Pelodiscus sinensis: one gene and its partners. The protein of the gene in region 3 interacts with the protein of the main gene of each other region in a biochemical or structural test. Links are inferred from orthologs where the notes say so. Each region holds a gene or a part of one and is shown on either strand. Other genes may lie near its edges. The genes, in order: CCAAT/enhancer-binding protein beta, UBTF, RB1 and CDK6.

The links.
Region 1: the proteins of RB1 (region 3) and CCAAT/enhancer-binding protein beta form a complex in vitro, tested with the Homo sapiens proteins (2 studies listed by BioGRID, with this or other methods). The link is inferred for Pelodiscus sinensis from reciprocal best matches to the Homo sapiens genes RB1 and CEBPB.
Region 2: the proteins of RB1 (region 3) and UBTF form a complex in vitro, tested with the Homo sapiens proteins (2 studies listed by BioGRID). The link is inferred for Pelodiscus sinensis from reciprocal best matches to the Homo sapiens genes RB1 and UBTF.
Region 4: of the proteins of RB1 (region 3) and CDK6, one has a biochemical effect on the other in vitro, tested with the Homo sapiens proteins (9 studies listed by BioGRID and IntAct). The link is inferred for Pelodiscus sinensis from reciprocal best matches to the Homo sapiens genes RB1 and CDK6.

What each region holds. Positions count from the first base shown.
Region 1 is NC_134728.1:19,311,950-19,318,792, reverse strand, and holds the start of CCAAT/enhancer-binding protein beta, read left to right. Parts: upstream 1-3,836; 5' UTR 3,837-4,037; coding exon 4,038-5,018; 3' UTR 5,019-6,056; intron 6,057-6,843. UniProt on the Homo sapiens protein: Important transcription factor regulating the expression of genes involved in immune and inflammatory responses. Also plays a significant role in adipogenesis, as well as in the gluconeogenic pathway, liver regeneration, and hematopoiesis.
Region 2 is NC_134739.1:7,330,241-7,337,560, reverse strand, and holds the start of UBTF (nucleolar transcription factor 1), read right to left. Parts: upstream 3,009-7,320; 5' UTR 2,592-3,008; intron 2,565-2,591; exon of another isoform or gene 2,380-2,564; 5' UTR 2,122-2,379; intron 1,982-2,121; exon of another isoform or gene 1,803-1,981; intron 1-1,802. UniProt on the Homo sapiens protein: Recognizes the ribosomal RNA gene promoter and activates transcription mediated by RNA polymerase I (Pol I) through cooperative interactions with the transcription factor SL1/TIF-IB complex.
Region 3 is NC_134711.1:288,849,394-288,856,737, reverse strand, and holds the start of RB1 (retinoblastoma-associated protein), read right to left. Parts: upstream 3,018-7,344; 5' UTR 2,820-3,017; coding exon 2,737-2,819; intron 1,772-2,736; coding exon 1,654-1,771; intron 1-1,653. UniProt on the Homo sapiens protein: Tumor suppressor that is a key regulator of the G1/S transition of the cell cycle. The hypophosphorylated form binds transcription regulators of the E2F family, preventing transcription of E2F-responsive genes.
Region 4 is NC_134712.1:213,392,768-213,399,968, reverse strand, and holds the start of CDK6 (cyclin-dependent kinase 6), read right to left. Parts: upstream 3,005-7,201; 5' UTR 2,506-3,004; intron 2,112-2,505; exon of another isoform or gene 1,962-2,111; intron 1,208-1,961; exon of another isoform or gene 1,073-1,207; intron 1-1,072. UniProt on the Homo sapiens protein: Serine/threonine-protein kinase involved in the control of the cell cycle and differentiation; promotes G1/S transition. Phosphorylates pRB/RB1 and NPM1.

The DNA of each region.
Region 1 (6,843 bases), on a different chromosome or scaffold from region 3:
TGGAGTTTTTATACAAATGCAGTCCGACTCTTACTACAGAGCAGTAAATAGTGACATTTTGGTAGGCAGAACTTCCTATGAACTCTTCACTCTTTGATCTGTTGGCATTATACAGTTGTGGTCTGTCCAACGCTGACAGCAGCTCTTTCTGGACTGTAGAAAGATATGGGAATGCAGAATTGGAGATCTTGGAACCACTGTAAATCAAGATAGAGCAAGTCTCTGAGTGAAAAGTTTCTGCAATGCTTTGGCATGGATCTGAGCTTGGGAAAACATGGATCTGAGCTTGGGAAACCAGGTGCTCCTGTGATGCTACAGTAGAGCTGTGAATCAGGGAGCAGAATCCAAGATAGGCTGGGAAAACCAGAGGCTGTGTCTACACTGGCCACTTATTCTGGAAAATCAGCCGCTGTTCCGGAATAATTTGCCAGCTGTCTACACTGGCCCCTTGAATTTCCGGAAAAGCACTGACGATCTACTGTAAAATCATCAGTGCTTTTCCAGAAAAACCATGCTTCTCCCGTTCGGGCAAAAGTCCTTTTCTGGAAAACTGTTCCAGAAAAGGGTCAGTGTAGATAGCACAGATTTCTTTTCCACAAAAAAGCCCCGATCGCGAAAATGACAATCGGGGCTTTTTTGCGGAAAAGCGCGTCTACATTAGCACGGACACTTTTCCAGAAAAAGTGCTTTTCCGGAAAAGCATCCTGCCAATGTAGACACGCTTTTCCCGGAAAGACTTATAATGGAAAACTGTTCCGTTTTAAGCATTTCCGGAAAAGGGTGCCAGTGTAGACGTAGCCAGAGTGATCTCTGTAAAACAGATCGGAATAGGCTGTGTTCTCTTTGTCTTTTTTCTTTTATATTCATTTTGTTTCACTCTTTCGCTGTTTGCATCCATCTTCTTCAAACAAAGCAGTGAGAACTTGTGTTTTATTGCATTAGAAATAGCTGGTTGGGAATTGGGGGTCATTCTTTCTTTCTTTCTTTCTTTCTTTCTTTCTTTCTTTCTTTCTTTCTTTCTTTCTTCTCTCAAAAATGACTTATTTTGAACAAAAAAAAAAAAAAAGAATAAAATTCAGGCCTTCCCCATCCCCACAACAAAAAATATTCTAAACAAGCAGACATTTACTTCAAAAAATGTCTTCTTGTCAGTAACCCAGTTTTCTTTCAAAAATGTTTTCAAAAACTTTTTTGGATGAGCCTTAATAAAAAGTGCTGCAACTTTCACTTTCATCTTGGAGAAAAAACCAGAGCTCAGCACCCTCTAATAGGAGCATCTACTTCTCAATACCTGCATAGAACAGCTTTCTAGAGCAAAAACTCCTGAAGAGCATGAAAACACAGAATGTGAATATAAATAACCATAAAAGCAGCCCTGGCTCACTGCAACTTACCAATATTTCCATTGTGTAGAGATGTTTGGATCTATACAGATATAGGCTCAAGTCACAACATTCAGATCCAGACCTGAATCCAGGATTCTTTGTCCAAGCTCGGCTCTACAACTAAGGCTAGGTCTAGACTACAGTCCTTTGTTGGAAAAAGCTACGCAATTTTTTTTCCGATCACTTTTCCGGAAGCGGCTTTTCTGCCATTTGGCCCAGTCCAGATGGGGCCAAATGGTAGAAAAGCCTCCTCTTTTGGTGGATCCCTTATCCCTTATAGAACGAGGTATTCAGGGTTCCCTGAAAGAGAGCATTTGCTCTTCTGCAAAAGAAGGTGGAAGAGCAAACACATTCCTCGGACGTGGCAGAGTTTTTCTGAGGTATCCCAGAAACCCCCCGCAGTGTAGACATACCCTAAATGTGCTTATTAGTAAATGTAATTCACCAAAAACTACTGCATAAAGACAGAAATATTGGAAGTCTACAAACCTTTTAGTGTACCTTTGCTATTGAAGTTGAAAGAAAGAAAGAAAGAAAGAAAGAAAGAAAGAAAGAAAGAAAGAAAGAAAGAAAGAAAGAAAGAAAGAAAGAAAGAAAGAAAGAAAGAAAGAAAGAAAGAAAGAAAGAAAGAAAGAAAGAAAGAAAGAAAGAAAATGGTTCATAGCATGATTTTTGAATTCTTCCTCTTTTCAAAGTCTGAGGTTTGAACATTCATGAACAGTTGACTGTTTGAATTGTATAATGCAATACCTGTTCCTCTGGCTTAACGTTGCAATATTTCCCACACCGCAGGATTGCTTCACATTATTCTATGAGGCAGTGTCATTTTCTCTGCAGTACTGGGTCTTCTTTACTGAAATGAAGGACACTCCTACTTCCTTTAATTATATGTTTTGTTTTAAATTGATGTCTTTTATTCTGAGCATGAATCACCAGCTTGTATACAGGTAAATGTGGGAGTAACAGGGAAAATGTAAGTTTGATTCCCAAAGTGGGTATCTTTAATTAAAATAGGCATAAAAATTTATTCTTACAAATTTACCATGGCCTCTCCAAATCAATGCTACTGTATACATTAATATATTAATAAATCATTGCATCCTGTCCCTTGACACAAATATATCTCACTTTCCCCCATTTATTTTAAATACAGTTCCTTAAATGTGGGAGTAACAGGGAAAATGCAAGTTTGATTCCCAAAGTGGGTGTCTTTAATTAAAATAGGCATAAAAATGTATTCTTACAAATTTACCATTGCCTCTCCAAGTCAATGCTACTTTATACATTAATATATTAATAAATCATTGCATCCTGTCCCTTGACACAAATATATCTCACTTTCCCCCGTTTATTTTAAAGACAGCTGCAAGAGCACAAACTCCATATCACTTGTGTACTCTGACAATTGCAACATACTACATAAGGCAAACACGCCAGGCCAAACATTAAGGCCGTCAGCCCTGCACACAGAGGTGATGGGGGAGTTTTGGATTTGCCTACCATTTCTAATTGCTGGTCTTCTTCTGAGGCAGTGCCTTACCCTGGTTTGCGCCCAATACCACATGCTTTTTACACCCACTGTGGCAAGCTAGTTCTGAATGTGTCTGTATGGGATAATTCTGCTTGCCAGCTCCATAAAATTCACAGAGCATTGAATTGGTATTAAGATCTGGCTTCTATTCCTGGCTCTACCTCTGATTTGCTAAGTTATCTTGGGCAAATCCCTTAACCTCTGTGCCTTAATTTCCCCGTATGTAAAATGGGGATACAGACACTCACCCACCTCAGTAAAACAGGTTGAGACCTACAGACGAAATCTACAGATATCATAAGCCTTAGATGCAATGGATCCAGCTCCTACTGGCCTTTGCTAGCCACATCTGGCCATTTGCTAGTCCCACAGCTGGACACCCAGTGGTTTGCATTGGGGAAGCAGGGGAAAGAGGCTGAAATCTGGGGAAGAAGGATGGGGGGGAAGGGAATCTGGTATCTGCTTTTCCCCCTCCTCTCTGAGGACATATTAGATGGGAGGAGAGGGGCAAAAGGGTTTAGTCCATATTGATACATGGGCAGATGCAACGTCCCCCTGTGTGAGCTACTGTGTCCATGTCGGAAGGTCCCATCAGGAGTGATTATAGTCCAGTGACATCGCCTGTAGATGTGACAGCAGCTGGCAAAAGTATAAGGCGGTTTTCCCTGTCTCTGGCCCAAATCTTCCCTCCCTTCCTTGAGGGTGAAAACGAGCCCCCTCGGCTGCGACGCCTGCCCTGCTTCCCCGGTGAATGACGAGGTCAGAGTCCCACACGCCAAGTGCCTCCTGCGGAGCGAGAGGCACTCGGTACAACTGTACAAAGTGTGCACCATGTGGCAGCCAGCCAGCCAGTGACGTCCCTGTTGCCATGGGATCCACCGCCCCTATAAATAACAGCAAAGGAACTTTCCTAAGTCAGAGACTTTAGGACTCGGACCTAGAACCAGATGGTCCGGAGAAAGAGAAGCAGCCGCCGCCGGATCTGAGCCAGCCCAGGTGGGCAGCACAGCCCAGAGACCGAGGCAGGATTTGGAGGCCCCCGCATCACCTTCGGCAGCTTGATCCCGCGGCTGGGGGGCCCCCTGCGCTGTCTCCTCCTCCCTGCACTCCCCTTTGCTTTCATGCAACGCCTGGTGGCCTGGGACCCAGCATGCCTCCCTATCCAGCCACCCGCCTTTAAATCCATGGAAGTAGCTAATTTCTACTACGAGGCGGACTGTCTGGCTGCGCTGAGCAAGCTGCACCCGCGGGCGGCAGGGGGCCGCTCCATGACCGAGCTCACCGTAGGGGACCACGAGAGAGCCATCGACTTCAGCCCTTACCTGGACCCCTTAGCAGCATCCCAGGCGCCGCCGCCGCAGCCTCCGCCTGCAGCAGCAGCAGGGGGCAACTTTGAGCCTCCCTGCAGCAGCGGCGCCAGCCAAGATTTCCTCTCCGACCTCTTCGCCGAGGACTATAAAGGCGGCGGCAAGAAGCCCGACTTCACCTACATCAGCCTGGCCAGGCACTGCCATCCGGGCGCCGGCCAGGCCCATAAGCCGGGCGGGCTGCTGCCCTGCTTCCCGTCCCAGATCGTGGAGACCAAAGTGGAGCCGGTCTTCGAGTCCCTGGACTCTTGCAAAGGGTCCCTGAAGGAAGAAGGGGGCGCCAGGCCGGGCGCAGGGGGCATGTCCTCCCCTTACGGCAGCACCATGCGCTCCTACCTCGGTTACCAGTCGGTGCCAAACGGCAGCAGCGGCAACCTGTCCACCTCGTCCTCTTCCAGCCCCCCCGGCACCCCCAACCCGTCCGATTCCTCCAAGTCCGGCGGCGGAGCGGGCTACGCCGGGCCGCTGGGCTCCAAGAACAAGAGCAAGAAGAGCGTGGACAAGCACAGCGAGGAGTACAAGCTTCGCCGGGAGCGGAACAACATCGCGGTGCGCAAGAGCCGGGACAAAGCCAAAATGCGCAACCTGGAGACGCAGCACAAAGTCTTGGAACTGACCGCCGAGAACGAGCGGCTGCAAAAGAAAGTGGAGCAGCTCTCCCGGGAGCTGAGCACCCTCAGGAACTTGTTCAAACAGCTGCCCGAGCCCCTGCTGGCCACGTCGGGCCACTGCTAGCCCCTGCGCTGGACACTGCTAGAGCCGCAGTGGTTGGGGTTGGAGGGGGAGAAACTGGGGAGGAAGGATGGGGGAGGGGGCGGTCTGGTAGCTGCTTTCCCCCCTCTATGAGGACAGATTGGACCGGGGCTGGGGAAGACACGGGGAGAGACTTAAAGGTTTGGTTTGTTGTTTTTTTGTCTTTTTTTTTTCTTTGCAATCCGGTGGAAGAAACTTCCGCCGCAGCCTGAGTGTTGGTCCTAGGAGGGGGACTCCCCTGGCGGGCGCCAGGGCCCTCCGCATCTTGTGGCGGAATGACAGTTGCCGATGGTAATTTTTTTGTAATGTTACAACCCCACCGAGGCACCCTTCCCCTTCCTCTGTCTGTGCAGAGTTTGTTGAATGTTCGTGTTATTTAAAACAGAGCGAGAGAAAAAGCAGAGAATGATGCAACCCTTTAAACATGGCTGGGAATGCTGCGTACACATGATGCAATCTCGTGTAACTGTCAGTCATGGATTGAGTAATCTGTTAAAGATGTTCCTGCGGTTTTTTTTATTATAAAGAATAATTCTATTTCTATACGAAAATACATATGTATATTTTGGGATCTATAGACATTCTTGCTACATTTGAAGCATTAATGAACAATTTTAATAAACTTTATGGCTAGGAAAAAAGAAAGAAAGGAAACTTGTTTTATTTTAAAGGCACTTTAACGCCAGAATGAAATCAGTTCAAATGCCAGCTAGATCTGGCTGTGTCAGGAATCATTTTGTTGGCCTTTTGACTCTCTCTGTGACTCAGCAAAAAAGAAAAAAAAATGAGAGAACCAGAGAAGACCAGATGTGGGAACCACAGCCAGTTCCCTCTTGCTGCCTCACTTAATTTCCTCTAACCCCTTGAGTTAAATTCTGCTTGGGTTTTTCTGAAATACTAATAACTCTCCCCATTCAAACCATGAAAAATGTTTGACAAAGTCTCTCCAAGCAAAGGACAAGATTAAAGCAGGGGAGAGGTTGGAGGAAAGAAAAAGAGAAGGAGAAAGCTTGAAATAAGGTGGGATTTTTCTTTAAAGCTCAAGTTTTTGTAGTCTCTCAGTTTCATGACTCAGTATTTCTGATGCTGGGGGTTTTACAGCAATGAACAGTGATAACATGTCATTTTTGTGTTGGATGGCTGTGAACTGGGGACCTCTCACATAACTAGGCTCAGTGAGAAATGTGTGGACAATGCTCCCTATAATTTCCTACTGAGCCTTCTTTTTAAAAACTGTTTCTAAAAAATGCTGCTGATACAGTTGAGTTCTTGAAAGGTGAGTGCGGTGGTGATGGTAGTGAATGGGTCAGGTGTGTGGTTTGGGTAAAAGGTTGGGTATAGGAGGATGTATGTATAGAGCCCTAAGGACTTTGTGACAAAGATAACAGAGGCTCTGCTAGCAGATGTGGGATTTGTCGAGGTCTGTGAGTTGCACATGTCTTGGCTCTCTGTAGTTTGCTTTTGTGTACCTGCCTGTAAAATATTATTTTACAGCCTAGAGCTGATTACGTGCTGGGAGTTGGATACATGTTCAGGTCTTATTCAGCATTTTCCAGCATACTAGACAGACTCTATGCACATCCATCTTCTAAATCCAGATGTCAAAAACTACCAGGAAAGAACTTTCTTAATCCTTCTATAGCTGTACTTTACAGTAGGATGCAAATGTTCTGTTTCCTTAATGGTAATGGATCTGAACTTGTTTTATGCTTTACTGTAAAGGATAGTGATTGGGAATGGGTGTGGAGCAGCCTTGAATTTGGTGTTTACGGATATTGATTTTACTCAAAAATATGTAGTATAACGA
Region 2 (7,320 bases), on a different chromosome or scaffold from region 3:
AGAGGGAGGGGCAGGCTCGGATGGCGGGGGGGGGGGGGGGCAGATCTCCGAGAGAGGGAGGGGCAGGCTCGGATGGCAGGGGGGGGCAGATCCCCAGACGGGGGGAGGGGCAGGCCCGGATGGCGGGGGGGGGGGGGGCAGATCCCCGGGCAGGGGGAGGAGCAGGCCCGGATGGCAGGGGGGGGGCAGATCCCCGGGCGGGGGGGGGGGCAGATCCCCGGGCGGGGGGGGGGGCAGGACCGGATGGCAGGGGGGGGCAGATCCCCGGGCGGGGGGAGGAGCAGGCCCGGATGGCAGGGGGGGGCAGATCCCCGGGCGGGGGGAGGGGCAGGCCCGGATGGCGGGGGGGGGGGCAGATCCCCGGGCGGGGGGAGGAGCAGGCCCGGATGGCGGGGGGGGGGCAGATCCCCGGGCGGGGGGAGGAGCAGGCCCGGATGGCGGGGGGGGGGGGCAGATCCCCGGGCGGGGGGAGGGGCAGGCCCGGATGGCGGGGGGGGGGCAGATCCCCGGGCGGGGGGAGGAGCAGGCCCGGATGGCGGGGGGGGGGCAGATCCCCGGGCGGGGGGAGGAGCAGGCCCGGATGGCGGGGGGGGGCAGATCCCCGGGCGGGGGGAGGGGCAGGCCCGGATGGCGGGGGGGGCAGATCCCCGGGCGGGGGGAGGGGCAGGCCCGGACGGCGGGGGGAGGGATCCCCACGTGCCCTGCGCAGCCCCTGCCCAAACGCAGCTCAGGCCAGCGCCAGTCTCCTCCTCTTCCACCAGGCAGCGGCAGCCGGGCGGGACCGACGCGCCAGCAGCTGCCGCTGCGCCGCCCTCCCCCACCCCCTCCGGGGAGAGCAGGCGGCCTCCTCCGCCGGGCGCCGCGGCGACTCCCCCGCCCGCCCGCCCGGCGCCGCGCGGACCGCGCCGGCCCCCGCCTCGCCCCGGCGGGCAGACCCCGGGGGCGCCCGGCGCCGCGCGGCCCCCCGGAGGCTCGGGCCCTCCGGGGCCCCCGCACCTCGCCACCCTCCCCGGCCGCCCGGTTACCGGGCCCGTCGGGCAGACACTGGCCGGCTCCGCCCGCCCCGCCGCCGCCCAGCCCGGCTGCAGCCAGCGCGCCGCGGAAGCCGCCCGCCGGACCCACCTCCAGGGCAGGGGGAGGGGGCAGGACTCGCCGCCGCGGCAGCCGCAGCCTCGCCGGAGCCGCGGGGGGAAGGGGCGGAGGCGGCGGCGGGGGGCGTCGGGGCCGCCGCAGCGCGCAGAGCCGGGCGAGGGCAGCGCGTCCTCTCCCCGCACCGACCCCCGGGGAGCGCGGCCCGGCCCAGAACCACCCAGCCCAGCGGGGGGCCGGAGCCCCGCGGCCGCCGGGGAGGGGAGCCAGCCTGGGCACGCACCCGCCCGACGGCGACCGCCCCAGCTCCGGAGGGGAACGGGGTGGGTGGATGGGGGGGGTGGGGGGGACAACCGCCCGGCCCCGGGAGCCCACCCCCGAAATCCCGCCGCGGCTGCCCGGCCGGGGCCACGCTGCTACCTCGTGCAGTCCCCCCTTCCGCGCGGCGGCGGCTGCGCCCCCTTCCCTGCCGCCGCGGCTCCGGGGGGTCCGGTTCTGCAGCAGCTCGGGAGCCGCTTTGTACGCGCCTATCCCCGGCGGGCCGAGGCTCCCGGAGCCGCCGCTTCCTGCCTGGCGAGCCGCGGGGCCTTGCCCGGGCTGCGAGCGCGTGGAAAATCCAACCCCGCGCCGCCCGCCCCGAAATCTCCCCGCGCTACCCCCCAAAAAAGCCCCCCGATCCCCGCTGCCTGCTCCCCCGAGCGCCTTCCCCTCACCGAGTAAGCCGGGCGGCCGCCGAGTCTGCAACCGGGGGGAAGCAGCAGCAGCTGCTGCAGCCAACCACCACCGGAGCCTGTGGAGGAAACAAAGCGCCTCCTCCAGCCCCAGATGGCGAACCAGAGCGTCGGCTAATGGCGAGCTCCACATGCGCTCCTGCTGCAGCAAAGCAGCCCGGTGCAGCCAGCGTAGCCTCGGATCGTGCCTTCTCCCCCCTCCCCCTGATCCTTCTCCCACCCACCCTCCCTTGCAACAGGGGGCTGCATCGGGCGCGTTTACTGCTGGAGGTCTCGGGTCTTTTTTTCGAAATGCACCTACCTGCAAACCAGCCAGGCTGGAGAAGGCGCTTGGGGACGGCTTTTTTTGGGTGCTTTAGCTGGGGAGCGCTGGTTGAATGCTAGCCAGCTCTGCAGCGCTGGCCCCGGGCGTGGACTCGCTCCAGTCCCCGCAGAGAGATTGCACTTCCCCCGCCTCCATCTCTCTGCTTTTTTCTTCCAATCAGCCGGGCTCTTTTCGCTCCTGGATCCTTAGCCAACCTCACAGCCCTTCACAAGTCTCCACTTTTCCATCTGCTCCCTAAACGGAATTGTCAGAGAAATCGGTCTCGTCTCTTTTCACTCTCTTCTGGCTCTTACGGGATTGTGTGTCTGTCTCTCTCTGACTCTCTCGCTCTCTCTCTGTGCGTGTTTATTGCTCTTTGCTTTTGCAACACTGTAGCCAAAAGAAGAGAAGAGGAGGAGGAGGAGGGAGAGACAGGGAAAGAGAAGGAGGAAAAAAAAAAAGCTTACATTTGCAACAATCCTCTTCTGACGTTTGCACCAAAAATTCACATGGTCGATTTCCTACAACCCACCTCGAATAGCACGAAAAAAAATAAGTTTTTTTTTAAAGTTCCACCTATGCACAAAAATAAAATTCAGATTTTCTTTGTCAAGTTCCGAGAGCGGGGACAGACATTTGCACCAACGCAAAAGAAGGAACCTGAACTACACTGCAAGTGGCTGCCTTGTAAACAGGCTCTCGGGGAAGAAGGAGACGGGGAAAAAAATGGGGAGTTTTGTTGTGTGTCTCTTGCACCAGGAAATGCACAAACAGGTCGAGAGTGAAATTCACACTTTCCTCCCGGACTGCGTGAACCGCTGGATTTGTTAACGATACCGTGAAATTGACACTCTTGGATATTTCAAAGCCGGAGGGGGCTGGGTGAAGGGAGAGTTTTTCCATTTCCTCCCCCCCCCCTCAATTTTTTTTAATCTAATTTTTCCAACTCCACCTTTGTTGTTATGGGCGTCATCTGCTGCTAGCCAATCCCCTGTCTGGGATCTGCCTGTCAAATTAATGGCAATCCCAATAAGCAAGCGGCTTCTACAGACCAAAAAAAAAAAAAAAAGCAATTAAGTGTTATGAGCTCTCTTGGGGGGGAAGAGTGGGAGGACCTGCTCTAAGGCCTATACATGTGAGACCAGGAGGGTGCTGCATGGTTTGGCTTTGGCTGTCAATGCAGGGATTCCCATAACACTGTGTGCAAATGCTTGCCTGCCTTGTTGCATTAGATATGTATCAGGCACCAGGGATATTTTTTTATATATGGAGAAATGTAAAGGGGTTGTCAGACAGCACTGCTGAGTGTATACATGGTTTTGTTACCACAGATTAATGCAGATTAGTTTAAACATGCTGGTAATGAAGTGGGAGCTAGAGTACTAAGCCAGAGACAACATGAGTGAGGTAATATCTTTTATTAGATCTGTTGGTTTAAAGTACATGCTTTTGAGTTACACACAGCTCTTCAGGTCTGGGGAAGGAACCAAAATATAAACAGTATCTTTAGGCCTTGTCTACACTAAGGAATTTGGAATAAAAGTCTTATCTTTGTTAACATGGGGGGGTGGATAAAATTCTACAATTCTACATGGATTTCAGCCTTGTTCACTTCCTGCTCTAAAAACTCTGTCCTGTCACTGAGGTGTCTTAAACAGATACCCCTGTTTCACCTAGGGGCTAGTAGCTTTTCAAAGTGATCCTTCTCTGTGAAAACCTTAAAAATGTACCTCTTGTCTTTTCCACATAAGATGAGTCAAAAATGTTAAGGAGGGTGAAGGCCTACCCCTTTCATTCTGGATACAAGCTGTGTGCACACGCAATAATTCTGCTGTGTTGTTTTTGTGGGCATATAGATGATCCTAATGCTGGGCTGAAGGTGATCTTCCCGTTCCATGGTAGGTTTGGAACCTTAAAAAAAATTCCTACAAATAGGTAGGAAAGGTCAAAAAGCTCAAATGTCCTTAAACGAAAATAATCTGAAAAAAAAAATTGGATCAAGTAAATTAAAACATTTGGTTTCAATTTAGATCTTTTTTAGCTTTTAATTTTTTTTAACTATGACTCAACATTTCTCACTGAGAAATTGTTTGGAAACAAAATGGAACCTTTGCATTGAGAAGTTGTCGAAACTGAACATTTTGTCAGTGTCTAAACTTTTTTCAAAAATGTTTGGAATCGCTTTCCCGACTACGCGGGCTTTGGGGCACGTTACATTCTTGTGCCTCTATTTCCTCTCCCAATCTTACCTGGTCATGTCTATTGAGATAGAGAGAATGCTTACTCTGAAGAGCTCAGTATGGGTGCATCTACACAGCACCCTTAGCTCAAAGTAAGCTACACAATTCGCGCTATGCAAATTGCATAGCTTATTTTGATGCTATTTCAAAATAGCTTATTTTGCAATTTGGTGCTGTCTACACAGTGCCAAATTTTGAAATAGCTCGCTATTCCAAAATTCCCCTTAACCCTCGCGGAATGAGGGTAACTGGGATGTTGGAATAAACCGCCTGTTATTTCGAAATCTATTTCAAAATAACTGGCTGCTTCAATAGACACAGAAGAGCTATTTCAGGATACTTCGGGTATCCTGAAATAGCTCCGCAGTGTAGATGTACCCTATGTGCTTATATTGTGCACAGCACAACAGGCCCCAATGTTCATGGGTGCCCTGAGGTGTGATTGTGAACATAAATATTTATCGCAGTATCTTTTGCAACCAGCTAGTGTGGTAGGCTGACTGGTAAAGATTGCTACTACTTGCTACTACTGATAAAGCATCTATTTGTGCACATGTAATATTAGAACATAAAAACAACCACAGACCAATATTCCATCTAGTCCAGGACCCTGTCTTCTGACAGAGGCTAAGGCCAGTTGCTTCTGAGGGAATGAAGAGAACAGGCAACCATCAACATTTCCAGCCCCTGGCATCTACTCCCAGCATTTGGCATTCAAAAGCTGGGGATGCTCTGATCCTAGTGTTGCATCCCTGACCATCGACACCAATATCCATTGCTGTATCTATTTCTTTTTTGAACTTGTATTGTTTTGCCCTTCACAACCTGCGGCAATGAGTTCCACAGGTCGACTGTGTGAAGAAGTACTTCCCTTTGTTTGTTTTAAACCTGCTGCCTATTACATTTTATTGGGTGACTCCCGGTTCTTGTGTCATGGGAAGGAGTAAATACCACTTCCCTCTTCACTTTTGTCCCACCAGTCAAGGTTTTATAGACCTCTACCACATTTCCCTCGCGTCATCTCTTTTCCCAAACTGAAAAATCCCAGGCTTTTCAATGTCTCCTCATGCAGATGTTGTTCAGATGCTAATCATTTTGGTTACCACGCTCTGCACTTTTAGGCTATGTCTACACTCGTGGCTTCTTGTGCGAGCAATATGCAAATGAGGCTAAGCGTGGAATATCGGAAAACACTACTGTGCTGTCTACACTGGCCCTTTTCCGGAACAGTTTTCCGGAAAAAGACTTTTGCCCGAACGGGAGCAGCATAGTTTTTCTGGAAAAGCACTGATGATTTTACATGAAATCGTCAGTGCTTTTTCGGAAATTCAAGCGGCCAGTGTAGACAGCTGGCAAGTTTTTCCGGAAAAGCGGCTGATTTTCCAGAAAAACTTGCCAGTGTAGACACAGCCTAGGAGTAAAGTCTGAGGGCTTGTCCATACCAAAACATTGTTCCTTTGGGCTATGTCTACACTGCCAGTTTTTGCGGCAGAAAATATACTAATGAGGGACTCATTTGCATGAGTCATGATCTCATTTGCATAATTTCTGCCGATCCATTTTTGCGCTAAGCGTTTTTGCACAAAAACAAAGTGTTTTCCCTTTTTGTGCAAAAACCCCTTTTTCCGCAAGATTGGTATACCTCCTTTTTTGAGGCATAAGGATCTTGCGGAAAAAGGGGTTTTTGCGCAAAAAGGAAACAACCACACTGCTTGTTTTTGTGCAAAAAGCCCTAGCGCAAAAACGGATCAGCAGAAAATACGCAAATGAGATTGCAATTCATGGAAATGAGTCCCTCATTCACATATTTTGTGCCGCAAAATCTGGCAGTGTAGACGTAGCCTTGGAAGACAATGCCTGTGCTTTTAGTAGGGACCCCACAGCAGTGTCCCAGCAGAGTACACTTATTGTAAGGACAAAAAACAAAAACAAAAGGCACAGAGAGGATAAGCACCAAACAAGACAAGTTCCTAGACGAGTTAGGAAACTTTTTTGGTTCAGAGGCCACACGCACAAGTGAGAAGCAAAACAAAAGAAAACAAAAACCAAAGATGTGGCCTTCACCTGAGAAAGAGAAAGACCCTCCCCACATTCCCCTCACACACCAGAGCTTAGAGGGGCCCAGGCTAGTAGATTTTGTGGGCGCTCCAGTCCTGTGGAGGCAGGGCTGGAGCCCAGCATATGCTCCCCAATCTGGGGAGAAGCCTTGAGCCTCGGCGGGGGGCCTTAGGTCCCCCACCCCGGTCCTAGAGGCTGTAGCCTTAGCCCAGGTTGGCATGAGTCTTATGGGATCCTAGCAAGCCAAAGACTTTCCAACCCTTCTTGCCTGTCTGCTGCATCAAAAGGGAATCCCTCCATCAGCTCAAGCCCAGCTCTTCAGACCGAAACACCTTTCTCGGTGGCTGCCACTGGAAAATCCAGTTTGGGCTCCCCAAGGAGTGGGGCTTCTGGGTACCGACCCCAGCCTGGAGTCTGGCCATGAACGTCTCTGCTACTTCAAGCTGTGTACACGCCACAAGGCAGGTCCCAACATTCTGGGGTCCAGTGCGCATACAAACTATGGGAAGTCCCGCCTCCGGGGTTTGACAGGCAGCAGCCCCATGGCTCCTGATTGGCTCCCGGACCTATTTAAACCTGGGAGGCGTTCCCAGAAGCATCCAGGTCATGTGGTTTGTCTGTAGCTGCTGTTCTGGTCTTGAACGCCTGGCTTTTGACTTTACCTCCTGACCCAGAGCCTGAAATCTGACCTGGTCCCTGGGTACCAACCCCAGCCTGGAGTCTGGCCATGAACTTCTCTCCTATTCCAAGCCTCAGGTTTGTCCCTCCTCTGACCCTGGACCCTGAGGGTCCTAGTGAAGATGCTGACAGTAATTACCCCGTTGTACTGAGCACCTGGAAGTCCTCCTCCATGGAGCAGAACACAATCCTACAGAAACGATTATAAATGTAACCCCCC
Region 3 (7,344 bases):
CCTGTCCTCTTTGTTCTCCTCCTCTCCATCACTTACTACCCCTGGCCTTTATACTCTCTCAAGGTATGGCTACACTGCCGCCTTTCCCTCCCTCCCTCCCCCCCTTGATTTTTCTGTAGGAAGAGGTTTTCAACATTTGGCCTCTCTAGACTGGGCCAAATGTCAGGAAAAAGACCCTCTTTCAGAAGCCCCCTTATTCCTCTTGGAACAGGGAATATAGGGGTTGCTGAAAGAGCATATTTGCTCTTCGGCTAAAAAAAAGCAGAAGCACAAACATGTTCTGGATGCAGAAGAGTTTTTCTGGGATACCTCTGGTATCTCGGAAAAAAACTCCTGCAGTCTAGCCGTATTCACTGGGTCGAGACAGGAGCTGCAGTCTCTGAGGTGGGAATGAGGGATTTGGGTACGAGAAGGATGGGGAACCTGTTTTGAGTCAGGGGGTCACTGATCCACAGAAAAGTCAGTTGGGGCCACACAAGTGAGATGCAAAAAAAAAAAAAAAAAAAAAAAAACACACACACCACCACACACAAACCTTCTCCAAAACCCCCCAACCTCACTAATGTGGCCCCAACAGTGCTGGTGGGAGCTGAGGACATGGTATTGGGGAAGGATGCTAGAGACGGGGACAGGGTGACAGTGGGGGCTGAAGCAGGGGACAGGGTGCTAAGGCAGGGCACCAGTGGCTGATGGGACAGGTAGCAGGCTGTCAGTGGGTGCTGCAGCAGGGGACAGGGTGTTGGTGGTGGCAGGCAACAAGGAGTCCCTGGCACTCGCCTCCTCCAAGGACCCCTCCCCTTCGCAGGGAAAGCACGTCCCAGCACTCTGCCTCCCTCCAGGGACTCCTACCCCCTCCCTCTTGCAGGGGAAGCTCATCCCAGCACTCGCCTGCTCTAGAGACTTTTACATCCTCCCGCCTCCCCCACCCACTGCAGGGGGAGCTCATTCCAGCATACACCCTCCTCCAGGGACTCCTCCGCCCCCTTAGCCCCCCGCAGGAAGTCCCCAGCATGCCACAGACCTGGGTCTGGTACCGCACTAGCTGTTTGGGGGAGGGGGTGCAGCCAGCACACTTCCTGAAACCCCAGAAGTGGCACGCAGCTGCAGGACTCCTATCCACAATGGAGGTAGCACCGGCTTCCTGCAGGGTCACTGGAGATGGACAGTGGGGCTTCTTGAGGGTGGGGGAAAATGGGGAGGCCCCAAATGCCTCACAATTGATGGGTTAGTGACCACGGCTACAGAGGCAAGGTATATATAGTCTTGTGCAGGCCCTCATCTTCCGCACTTGGAGTGCCAGAGTGGGGAACAGCTATAACATGTGGTCTGGATGTGATTAGTCACATAGTGCTGGTTTAACTACCATTTAGAGTAAGTGTGAACTAAAGGGGTTTTTTTAATTGGCATATTTAGTGAAGGTGAGGTTATGCAAGTTAATCTACACAGATGTGTGTACACAGCAACCTTTGTACTTTTTGACCTTGATATAAACCTGCATCAGAATGATACCACTGTAGCATTTCCATTTTAAAATAACTTGCAATTTTTACCAATTTGCTTCTTGGCTAAGGCAACATGTTAGGCTAAGCACGGATCCAGAGCTCAGTATTTTAAATCAAGTCACTGTAAGCATTAACTCTACCAAGTACTCACTAAAGTTCCATCAGTAGGGGACATTTTTTCATACATCTTCCAAGCATTTGTTCTCACAATGTCTGATACTCTTAGTGTGTCACACAGTGCAATAAAGCCAGTTTCTCCAAACTCAAGCCTAAAAGAGAGTGAAATGGATGATTAACTATCAGGTTCATTTAAATGAAAATGTATCACATATGATTATAAAGTATAAAACATTAGCTAGAATGTGACATTTCTCTGGAGAAAACCCATCTTACTGAGCATCTGCATCCACATCTGATCCACAAACGTCAATGGCTATAAAGGAGATATTCAGTTGTACAGGTCTCTACTTATGACCCCAAGAACCAGGAATGGATTGAAGGAAGGTCAGTGACTAGCAGGGAACCAAAGAAATTGGTTTTACACTGGAATTTCTAATCTAAAACTCATACAATCCTGAAATGCTGAATGCATGCACATCGGATGTCATCTATCTGTAGCAGATAAAGCAGCACATTTTTGTCCTTTAAAGGTGAGCCCACTAGAGCAGACCTTGGAAAGCTTGGGAGCCAAAGAGCTGGAAGCAATCAGGAACCCAGGCAGGACCCTGCATTACCTTTCACATTTCTACTGCCTGAATCTTAACAGGCCAATCCTACGGTTCCATCAGCATAAAATGCTTAACCTCTGCTCGAGCCTCTCGTCAGTCAGAGCCAGGTCTTCGCTGTTACATCTCACACCGCGGTGAGTGTGCAGTTGGCCACAGCTGACAGGCCCCAGCACCAGCGAGGCTAAGGGAGCCTTTCGCCCAGCGGGCACCGCCGATTGGGCGGACACCAACGGGCTGTTTTTCCGGCCAAAGCAACCTCTGCCCACGCGAGCACCAGGGACCTACGGACCCGTCTTCAGCAGCGCCCAGTACCGTACCAGCCATCCCCCCCCAAGCCGGGCAGGCAGCCTCCCAGCCACCCCGCACAGGGATGCGCAACCAAGCGGCGAGGGCTTCCGCGTTCGCCAGAGCAGAGCTGCCCTCACCCGGGACGCTCCCGGAGCAGCAGAAAAGCGGTGCCGCGGGGGCTAGAGCCCGGGCTGGAGGAAGCGGCTGGCGACTCTCACCTGGCGGCAGCGGCAGGCGGAGGTGGCGGGGTACTGCCTCCCTTGGCGGCGGCTCCCCCCTTCCGGGGGGGCTTGGGCGGCATGTCGGTCGGGCGCGCGCAAGGGCGCGCGGAGCCGCAACTGTTGGGTCCGAAGTTTAAACGTGCACCGCAGAGGGGAGACGAGAAACGGACAAACCGGCTCCCAACAGCGACCACTCAAACCGCGGGAAAACACGTCACGTCCGCCCCGCCCACCGGGCGGAGCGTACGCGTCACTTCCCAGCCCACAACTCGCTTCAGAGAGGGGTGAAAGGGACAGGGAGCGTATTCAAAGGGGGTGGAGCCTGCGCACAGAATGAGGCTAAGAACCCGGAAGAGAAACTCGGAGTCTTGGCAACGGAGGCTTGAGCGCAAGCCCTTCGGCCAATCAAGTCACCCACTTCCCTTAGCCAATAGAAGAGCTGATGACTGTCGGGGCGGGGGCTCTCCCGGCTGCTGTTGCTGGTGGTGCCGAAGGGGCGGGGCTCAGCGGACCTGGTTTGTTGTTGTCAACAGTTTATTTTGCCAGTTACGTTCCTAGAAGCTATAGACGGTTCAGCTCCGTCTGCCTGGGAGCGGGGGCGAGCGGGAAGGGAGGGAGGAGCCAAGTGGCGTTGTAACCCACGCACCTGTGGGCTGAGCTGTCCTGTCCGACCACTTACAGGGAGAATTAGTTTGCTCTGCAGCCTTCCTGTAGGGTTGCCAGGTGTCCGGTTTTGAACGGGAGAGTCCAGTATTTGGGCCGTCTGTTTAAAAAACAAATTCAGAAAATATGAAAGTCTGGGGCTGGGTCTACACTGGTGCGATCTCGCACAAAAACTTGCTGCCTGTCTACACTGGCCGTGTGATCGCAAGTAAACTGATGGTCTAATGTAGGAAATCAGGGCTTCTTGCGCCAGAACTCTGACACTCCCGCTGGGGAAGAAGCCCTTTTGCGCAGCTGTTCTTGCACAAGAGGCCGGTGTAGACAGGCAACATGAATGTCTTGCGCAAGAAAGCCCTATGGTTAAAATGGCCATCAGAGCTTTCTTGCACAATAGAGCGTCTACACTGGCATGGATGCTCTTGCGCAAAAGCACATGGCAGTGTAGACTCTCTCTTCTGGAAGAGTTCTTGCGCAAGAAGCTCCCAGTGTAGACATAGTTTCTAAATAAGATGTAATGTTAATTTTGATGTAATTTCAAGTGTGTCTGGTATTTTTGTGGAAACCATCTGGCAACCCTACCTGAGAGCCAGCTGGGTTTTAGCTCACGCAGTAGAGAAGGGGTGGGGAACCTTTTTTGGGGTCAGGGGCTGCTGACCCAAAGGAAAAAAATCAGAGGGTGGGCACACACAAAAAGAAAACAAAAAGGGGCAAACTCTCATTGACTGGTCCCCAAACTGAGAAGAAGAAAGACACTCCCCACGTTCCCCTCACACACCAGAGCCTAGGGAGGCCCAGGTGAGTAGATTTTGTATGCTCCAGCTCCACTGTGGGGCAGCAGAGAGGCTGGAGTGCCACAATGGACTCCCCAATGCTGGGGGAGCTATGAGTCTCAAAGGCCCGATCCAGGCAAGCCATGGTCTGCATCCCACCCTTGGGCCTTAGATTCCCCAGCTCTGCACTAGAAGCTCATGCGCTAAACTACAGCAATCCCCGGTTTGGTTCCGCCTGTCCAGGTTACAGAGTTACACACACATGGAGGTGCCTGGAGTTTGAAACTCCAGAGGTTAGTGAACACTTGGGAGAAGTGATGTCTTTGATCAAAGTTCAAGACCAAGAGCTCTTCAAGTGAGGCATAGGTAGAGGTCACAGTACACTCTGCTGGGAGCCTAAAAAGTCCTCTAGCAGTAGCAGATCCAGAGGAGACCAATTTTTACATTCATGTTATTTTTAAAGTAAACAAGCAGAGGGGAAAAGAAACAAATATATTTATAAGGCACCCAGGTACCTTTGTGAATTTCCATGTCCTCCTATTCCTTGCCCTTGCTCTGCACTGCCTTTTCCCCCAACTAATGCAACCCAGGGGACAAGCAGGGCCAGGGTGCTGGCAGCTGGTGTCCAGCCCCCCCCCCACACACACCCCCAGTGGCTGGGAGTGGGGGGAGTGAAGCAACACTATCCCGGCTTGTTCTGCTGTCCCAGCATGTTGCTTGGAGAAGGGGCGGCATACCCTCACTTTCAGCAGTGGGAAGCAGAGCAAGCTAAAGCTGCATAACTCCGCTTCCCTGCCCCCACCACTGCTGGTGAATGCAGGGGGATTGGATCCCTGCTACTGGCATCATGCCCTCCCCTGCTAACTCCCCTGGATGCCCAGAGACTGGGCCCCAGGACCATCCCACCCCTTGTGTGAGGTGTACGTGCCCTCTCCTGGTTCCCTGAACGATACCCCTGTCTGAGGCAGACACCTGAAAAATTTCAACCTGAACAAGTAAGGTTTAGTAACATTAACAGCAACTGAAAATTGGGTCTTACAAGGAAGTTCTTAGGCAACCTTAACTGTGGGTAGTGCTACCAGCTCCATCTAGAATGTGTTCAAGTAACTTCAGTATTAAAGAAAATTCTAACTGCACATAAAGGACTAGATTCTGTAAACCATCCTTCAAACAGTGCAGGATGGTAGGTTGTTTTTTTTTTAAAATGTATGCAAAGGTTGGTTTTAACCCAACCTTGTTCTCGCTCTGTAGGTATGGCTGCTGTATGCTGGCCTGGAGCCACACTATCAATTAAGGGATAAAGGTCTGTGTTGTAGAGCTAAAGATTCCAGTCCAGCTGATGATCTATAGGGGGAGCTGGTATGATTTCATATAAAAGAATGTTTTTTATTTTAGTTTCTTCTTTAAAAGATCTAGGAAATTACATATACACACGCACATTAAAATAATGTTAATCTTGTATCTTGGGTATTGCTAAAGCAGGGTTCCTGTTGAAAACAGGGGTACCTGATCACATAATTAAAGGATTGTTTCATAATGCATATGCAGAAGGGGGCCAAATCAAATTGCATGGGCAGCTTTAATTCTACAGTTGACTTCCAATAATCCGGCACCTTTGGGATTTAGGTGGTGCCAGATTATCGGATATGCCGGAGTATCAGGAGGTACTGCATACTCCCAACCCAATCTCCCTACCTCCCCTCCCCCCCCAAATCATCTGGCTGGGACACCATGAGTAACCCGATCCTCCTCCCCTTAGCAGAACACTTCTGCTCCCTGCTATAACCCGATCCCACTCCCCCACCCCAACCTTACGATTGGTCAGATACAGCCAGCACATGTGCTAAGGGGCCAGCTTTTCCAGAAGCTGGCCAGGATGCCATAAGTAATCCAATTCCCCTCCCCTTCTTCTTAGAAAAACACTTCAGCTCCCTGCTGTGACCCAGGTAAGAGCAGCTGACCTGAGCAGTTCCGGTTCCATCAGAAGCGCTTGCCATTTTGATGCCGGACTATCGGGAGTGCTGGACAATCGGGTGCCTGACTATTGGAGTTTTACTGTATTATTTCTTAACTGTCCAATGCTTGCTTTTGTAATTTTAACTGAGTTTTTTTTAGTCCATATAAATATATATAGTACATGAGAAATTAATTAGTGATACACTTCTGCATTTTAGTTACCAGATTTAAACCTAGGCTGAAGGAGGGACAGATGACCATATGGCTAAACACTGGATTAGATCTCAAATAGCTGGGATACATTGTTGTCTCTGCCAAAGGCTTTCTGTGAGACACAGAGAAAGTCATTTAATTTCCCCTGCTTCAGTTCTCCATTTATAAAATCAGATAATATTTTCTCCCAACACTTTTCTCTGTCTAATTTAGGTAATGATATGTTCTAGAAAGCACTGACTCTTAATATGTTTATGAAACAATGCACTATGAGGATCCAATCTTAGTTAGGACCTGTAGATACTACCATAATACAGTTAATAAGTATTGAAATTGGTGAGTTAAAGGACAGATTTAATTGAATACTCTTTGAATGTCTTCTTTAGATAACTGAATTAATAGATTTTTAAGACCAGAAGAAATGATTGTGATCATCTAGTCTGACCTCTCTTATAAGTCATCCCCAAAATAATTCCTATTACCGTATATATCTTATGTAAACATTGTTGAGCAATCTCCATCACTGACAATACTTGGTACATTTTTCCAGTGTTAAAAATGTACACCTTATTTCCAGGTTGGCTGGAAGTTGAAACTAAAAAAATTCATTCATAAGAAGTGGGTACAAGAAGCAGGGGAAGGCATTGCCGTCCAAGACTGAGGCATGGCCCTGCCCACACTTGGCCTCCACAGCACCCCTGCTTCATTGCTGCTCTGGAGCTGCCCCCAGCTCCAGCCACGCAGAAGCTGTGATTGCATGCCACCTGTCTTCCCCCTGCTCTAGGACCAGGGGAGGGTTCACATGGCGGGCTGGAGGCCTGCCCTGTGGTGGGGCGAGGGCTTGACTGCTATTGGGTAGAGGGCTTGAGCAAAAGAAGCAAGGCTGGAGGCTTGACTCTCCAACCCAAGGTTCACTTACTACCCATGCAGCCATTGGCTTGTGTTAAACATTCTCCACTATACTCAGGAGCCCATTATTAAATATTTGTTCTCCATGTCAATA
Region 4 (7,201 bases), on a different chromosome or scaffold from region 3:
ATATTATTTGATGAGATGGATGTTTGAAGGATGCAATATGATGCAGAAAATGGGAGCAAGTGGAATGCTATAGGATTGCAAGGCATGAAAAGGACTATATGGTTACAGGGTTGGTACAAAGGGAGAGGAGGAGTAGCAAGTAAATGCCAAGTAAGGGTGGTACTCGCTCAGCGTTTGGAATGGGGGAATGGGACATAGTCCCAAGGCAGGAGGTACCAGTGCGGTGTTGGGAATGGGGGGACAATATGTCGGAGATGTGGGTTGGCTGAGCAGAGACCTATAGAAGAGGGTAGCAGGATGAGGATGGGCTGAGTCATAGCAGAGGAGATGAGAGTCCCAGGGAAGGGAGCAGCAGTTCAGTGTTGGAGATGGCTAGAGGGAAGAGTCCAGAGAAGAAGGGAGAAGGTCACTGATGGGAGTGGGTAGATCCCCAGGTGTGGGGGTAGGAGCTCAATGATATGGAGGGTGGGGGGAGGGAAGTGAGAATCCCAGGAGGGTTAGCAGGTCAATAACGGAAGGGGACTAGGTAAGGGGGTAGCAGGTCATGGGGGTCTGAGAAGAGTCCAGGAGTAGCAGGTCAGTGATGGGGGTGGGGAGAACTGCAGGTGAGGAGGTAGCAAGTCACTAATGGTGGGTCAAGAGGAGTCCAGGAGTGGGGGTAACAGATTAGTGATGGAGAGGAGAGCAGGGGAGGAGGGAGGAGTGCAGAAGTGGGGCTAGCAGGTTAGTGGTGGGGTCTGGGGAACAGTACAGGGAAGAGGGCAAGGAGTGTAGGGGAGGGGCTAGCAGGTTAGTGGTGGGAGTGAGGAGGACTGCAGGGGAGGGGATGGGAAGAAGTGTAGGCGGGGGCTAGCAGGTTAGTGGTAGGGTCTGGGGAAGAGTGCAGGGGAGAGGTTAGCGATGTGGGGAGGAGGTCAGGGAAGGGGCTAGCCGGTTACTGATGGGGAGGGAGGGGGGAGGGACTAACAGGTTAGTGATGGGGAGGTGTGCAGGGGAGGGGCTAGCAAGATAGTGAAGGGGGAGGGGTGCGGGGAGGGGCTAGCAGGTGAAATGCCCCCGCGGAGGGGCTCACCCCTGCTCCGGAGCAGCAGCTGCCTGACCCGCCGAAGGCAGGAAGGTGCCGCGCGGCCAGGCCGCTGCGTGCCGCGGGCGGAGCGGCTGCTCCGAGCCTCCCACGGCGCGCGCGTGTGAGGTCGGGGGGCCGGGCCTGGCCTCGCAGTGCGGCTCCGGCTCCAAGCGCCGGGGCCCGAGCTGTTCCTGCTGCGCCGCGGGGCCCTTCGCCTCGGCAACTGCTGCTCCAGGCAGAATCCGTGCCCCGGAGGAGCAGCCCCCGGCCCACCCCCGGACTGCCCGCGGGGGGAATCCCCCTACGGACACCCCAGACAGCCCGCGGGGCACGCCCCCACCCAGCCCTCCCACCAGGACAGCCCGCGGGGCACCCCCAGCCAATCCCCAACCGAGACAGCCCGCGGGGCACCCCCAGCCAATCCCCCCACCGGGACAGCCCGCGGGGCACCCCCAGCCAATCCCCCCACCGGGACAGCCCGCGGGGCACCCCCAGCCAATCCCCCCACCGAGACAGCCCGCGGGGCACCCCCAGCCAATCCCCCCACCGGGACAGCCCGCGGGGCACCCCCAGCCAATCCCCCCACCGGGACAGCCCGCGGGGCACCCCCAGCCAATCCCCCCACCAGGACAGCCCGCGGGGCACCCCCAGCCAATCCCCCCACCAGGACAGCCCGCGGGGCACCCCCAGCCAATCCCCCCATCAGGACAGCCCGCGGGGCACCCCTTAGCCAATGCCCCCAACAGGACAACCCGCGGGGGAACCCCCAACCAGTCTCCCCGTTAAGACAGCCCGCGGGGCACACCATCAACCCCCCCCGGACAGCGCGCGGGGGAATCCCGCAACCAGCCCCCCACCAGCCCTGAATGCCGAGAATCACCCTCTGGAAACATACGTTTTAGGACTGCGAGCCCGGGCAAGCCCCTCGCACGAATTCCCCAGCGAGGACGCTGCGGGATGGGGCCGGAGGACGGACAAAAGCACCCCCGAGGGAGAAGGCGTGCAGAGAGCCCCCTCCCCCCGACCAGCCCAATAGGGATGCATGCGGATGCATGCGGCGGCGGCGGCACAGGGGGACTGTCCCCACAAGAAGCGTGGGGGAGCCACCCACGGAAACACCCGAAAACAGGCGTGAAGCCCCCCCAGCCTCGTGCCCAGGGAACATGCACGGCGGTTCCCTGCCCCCATCCCCTACTAAGAACGCACACAGGCGAGGAAGGGGGGGGGAGGAAGGGGGGGGGGCGGCAGCAATTACACCCCTCCCGCCAGGGATGAACATCTTGGGGGGCCGGCCCCCCACAAAGCCCCAGATTCACAATCACGCCGCCTGAGGCAGAGAAGCCCCCCTTCGCCGCAAGCCACCCAGCGGGGAAGGGGGCCTGCGGAGCACTCGGCAGTAACACTAGACTAGAGGAAGCACATGGCCACTTCCAAATTACCTGGTCCGCTCCACGCTGCTCCGATCGCCGCACGAGCCCCAGATAATCTCCCGCTGGGGGAGGAGGGGGGGGTCACCTTCCTGGAGGCAAACCTCCCATTCGCTTCCCGCGAGCCAAGACCCGAACCGGGTAATAAATATTCACATGATGCTTCCAGCAGGTCTCTGCTGTAGCACCCCGGGCCACACAGGTAGCAACTGCGCCTCCTCGGCTCTACTGCTGCTGCCTTCCCCTCGCATCCTCCTGCAGCACCTTCCTGCCCAGGGAGCTTTAATTCAGATCAGCCTCGGCCCGCCACCCTCCCTCCTCCCCTCCCGCTTGGAAAAAAAAAAATTAAAAAAAAAAAAAAAAGCGTGACTCAAAGTCCCGCGTTTGCCAGGCTGCAGCGGATCAAAGTCCTGCAGGGCTCCCCCGTGTGCGGGGTTCGGAAACCAGCCCTCCACGCCGCCTTCTGCCGCTGCTTCTCTCTGTAGCCTCGCTCGGCTCCTGCTCTCTCTGAGAACAGCGGCGGCAGCACAGCTCGCAAGCCCCCCCCCCCCCCCTCAACTTTTTTTCCCCTTGCTTTCCCACGCTGGCTGAATGTGACTTGACCCCGTTTCAAAAAAGTTTGACATAGTGCTTTAACATTTCCGCATTCCTCCCCGACTACAAAGGCTGCAGCCGCCTCCTTCTGCTTTCTGTCTCTGCTCTCTGTCTTCACACTCAATGAAATCCTTCATGTGCCTCTGCCAAAGGCAGCCACATACCGCAAGGGTCGCCGCTAGCGCAACTGCCAGAGGCATGCACCCCGGGGGGGAAAGCGAGAGACATCATTAGGGAGCAAAAACCTTCGGAGGATTCTTATTTGCTCTGAGGCAGCGCCAAAGGACCCCCGGTCATAACTGGGGTACTGTTCTGCTAGGTGCTTTATAAGCACAATAATAATTATTTATGTTGCTGGAGCCCCTCAAAGGGCCCCATAGGCAACAGCGGTACGGACACCCAATAATAAATATTACTAAATGAAGCATGGCCCGGGCTTTATTATTATTTCGCTAAGCAATCACAATGTGTTTGACCTTGACAAGACAAAAACAAAGAGCAGTCCCTGCCCCCAAAGAGCTTACAGTGGAGAGGGGGAAATGAACGCTTAGTGCTGCCGGGAGCACTTTGTATAAAGCCGATTCCTACAAATATTGGAATTTGCTGCACAAGAATGCAGAAAACAGATGCCAAACTACTCTCTCAGGATTGGGAAACACATCTGGGATTCTTGATCTTCATTCCCCTCCCAGCTGATCCATTCCACCAAATTCTTGACAGAACCTCAAGGACAATTATGGAATTCAGTTACTAATGAGAATCAGTTCATGTGGCGCTTAAACCAGTTGGAACCCAAGATTGCTCACTTTTTTTTTTTTTTTTTTTGTGTGGAGATGGAGGATGGGCTAGCTGGAAAGACAACGGTACAACTATCATTCAGTTCATGGAGATAGTGCAGATGTCATCCTGTGATGAAGTTATTGACATTGAACACACTGCTATGCATTAATATATTTTATGTCCTGAAAATATCTCAGCACATATGGTTTTGTGTACATAATATTATATAATTAAAATACTTCAGTACAGAAAGACATTCACACAATTATTTTTTTTAAACGAACTTCACATGTCCTCTCAGCTGTCAGCTGAAATCAGGCTCGATGGAGCTGGTTCTACCACTCATTCCAAAAACGAGGGCAAATAAATTTCAAGGTTCCATCCTTGTTTCTGAACATTTAGAAGCCTCACTCTGACTGAAGCTACTGAGAAAAAAAATGCACATAACACCCCTGATTTCATTTGGGAGGAGAAATGGAATTTTGTGCCAAATAACTGGTACTTTTCTGCAAATAAAGTTTTATGTGCTGTGCACTAGAGTTTGCAGAAGTCCATGCATACATTGCAAGTTTTACAGGAACCAAATTTGTGTTCTTACTGTAGTGTATTAAATTAATAAACTGGAAATTCCCAAATGTTTTTGTTAAATTAAAGTGAAGATTGCTTGCTAAAGCAAGTGACAAAAATTGGTAGAACTACATATACCCAAAAAGTTAGTTAAAAATGTCAAAACTTTAGCATATATAAATAAGATAATCTGAATACAATTCAAATACATGCATATTAATACTTTTTCTAAAAATAATTCTAGACATGAACATTGATATCTCATCACATCTGCATGCCCATTGCCTTGGCTTATTGTTTCCATATTTTTAATATTTCAAGTTTTTGCACGCTAATATTTTTGTTTTCCTTTCCAACTTCAAAACTTTGGACCAGATTCATATACATAGGGCATAATCAACATCTCTGATTGTAACAGTATTCACTTTTGAGGATGGACAGGCAGCAGTATTTGCTTCTTGTCTTACTTAGTGGATTCCACATGGGAAAGGTAGCTTTAAATTCCAGCTGGGTTTTTCTTGGGATCTTATTGATAAAGACTGCCTGTGAGAGGCATTGAATCAGTTACATATACAACTTCATATTCAGCACATGCAGTGTGGGATAACTTTAAGCCCTTATGTTTTCCATTTTCAATGCAAGTTTTGTGTTCAAATTTGCAATTTTAACATTTTACCTTACTAAGTTTTGCACATCACAAAACCCATCCTCAAAGCTTTCTCTACAAAGATACTTAATAGAGAATATATTTGGTTGCTCTGTTTAGTATACATGTTTTGCCTGCATGAATTTATGATGGTCCAATACTAATGAGTGGGGAAGCCAGGAATAATATATGTTACTCATTCTTCTAAATAGATGCCAATAAACCCTCTATATCATACTATACAATTATGAATTTGCTATATTATACTTGGTTTTATAGGATTTTGAGGAATGTTTGAGAGCATTTTGAAAGTACTATGGGGTACTTTTTAATTGTGTGTGTGTATAACTTTCCACCTATAAGGCCAGCTGCTTGAGTTACCTTGAATCCTGCTGTGAAGTCTTCCCATGATACAAACACATCTCTAAAGTGAGGTTAAATAGATTTCATGAGCCTAAAAACTAAGTGATTTCAGGAAGAATTTCAAAATATATTTTGATATAAATAGTCAAGTAAAAATGGACAATATTGCAAAACAAATTGCAGCACAAAAAGCAACTACTTGTCCAAATTTGCAAAATTATTTGACGGTTTAAATCGTTAATAGATATAAAGTTATAAAGTAATTTCATATAACATGCTTTGTGGAAAAATTACGAACCAGCAAAACAGCATATATTTCCAGAAATAAAAATAATCCTGTTTAATTTTTTGCTTTTGAAAATATTACTAAAATATCTGCTTTTCCTTTTTCATGAGACATTTTACATTTCAGTGTTTCTGATTTCAAATATTTAAAAATGTATTGTTCGTCTCTCAAAATCAGGAAGCTTTATAATCCAGATAACAATACATTTCATATTCCTTTTTTAGTTTTAAATCTCTTCATTAATTTATATTACAAACACATCTGCATCCATTTTTGGGCACTGGTGTAGTGAAAGTTCATTAAATATTGTTGCTAAGAAACAAATTCAAAGAGTAGTTACTAAGTCTACTCAAATTATTACCAAAGTTTTTGTTGTACTGAAAAATTAGTTCGTGGGGTGCTCCTAAAAAGGAAGGAAAGAGAAAAAAAGAGAACTTTCTCCACATCTTACTTTTCTTTTAATCCATGAATATTTTATTTGTGAAACCCTATTTCTGAAAAACAACTTATATGGAAAGATATGTCAGTGGGGGCAATTTTCTTTTATTTTATTGATAATCAATATACATTAAAATATAATTAAATCACCTTAAAACTAAGACTTCAAAATCATATGTGCTGCTTTAAGGACTACAAAACACATTCATAAATGAGGTCTCTAAGGTTTTGCTGGAAGCAATGAAAAAGCTGATGATGTGACAATAGGTGACAAATAATTACTGGAATTAATATGCTCTTACAGCAGTTTATTTGAATAATCTGGCATCATGCAATACCATAGAAGTGCTATGAATAGTTTAAGACTCTCAGAAAGAAAGCTACATTGGCTTGTTTGGTGTTTTAACTGGTTCAGGGAACAGCTAAAATTTTATTGGGGATTCCAGAGCTTGGTGTTACAAGAAGTCCACATTCAAATCAGAGTGAAACTTGCACTTCAAAAGTACACATTTGAATAGAGGGTTTTGGAGAATAAGGTTCTCTGTTTAAACCGTTTCATACTGGTTTAGTTTTGTTTAGTCTGCATCTTCTATTTTAACTAATATGATATGGTTTTTAAACATGTAGTTAGGCATTAGTACTTAGAAAACCCCTTACATAGCTGAGAAACTATTATTTTGCCAGAATAGCCCCATATCAAGTGATGTGGTACAACAGATCATGTTTATTTGCAGCATCTTTTGGTAGTCAGATTTTATAATACATGAGCACAAATTGTAAAATCATGAGCAACATAACCTTTTGCAAGTGTAAAGAGGTTTGGTAAATAAAACACCTACTGTTTAAAATTATTATATATGCAGATATCCCCTAACTCAGTACTTTATCACAGATAATGTTGAACTCACATAATAAATTCTTAATTTAATAGTAACTGCGTTATACATTTGTGTGGGAAGTTGTATAACAAATAACAAACAATTTAAAAGCTACTTTTAAATGAAGTGTAGACATAAAGCAAAAATGTGGGGTTT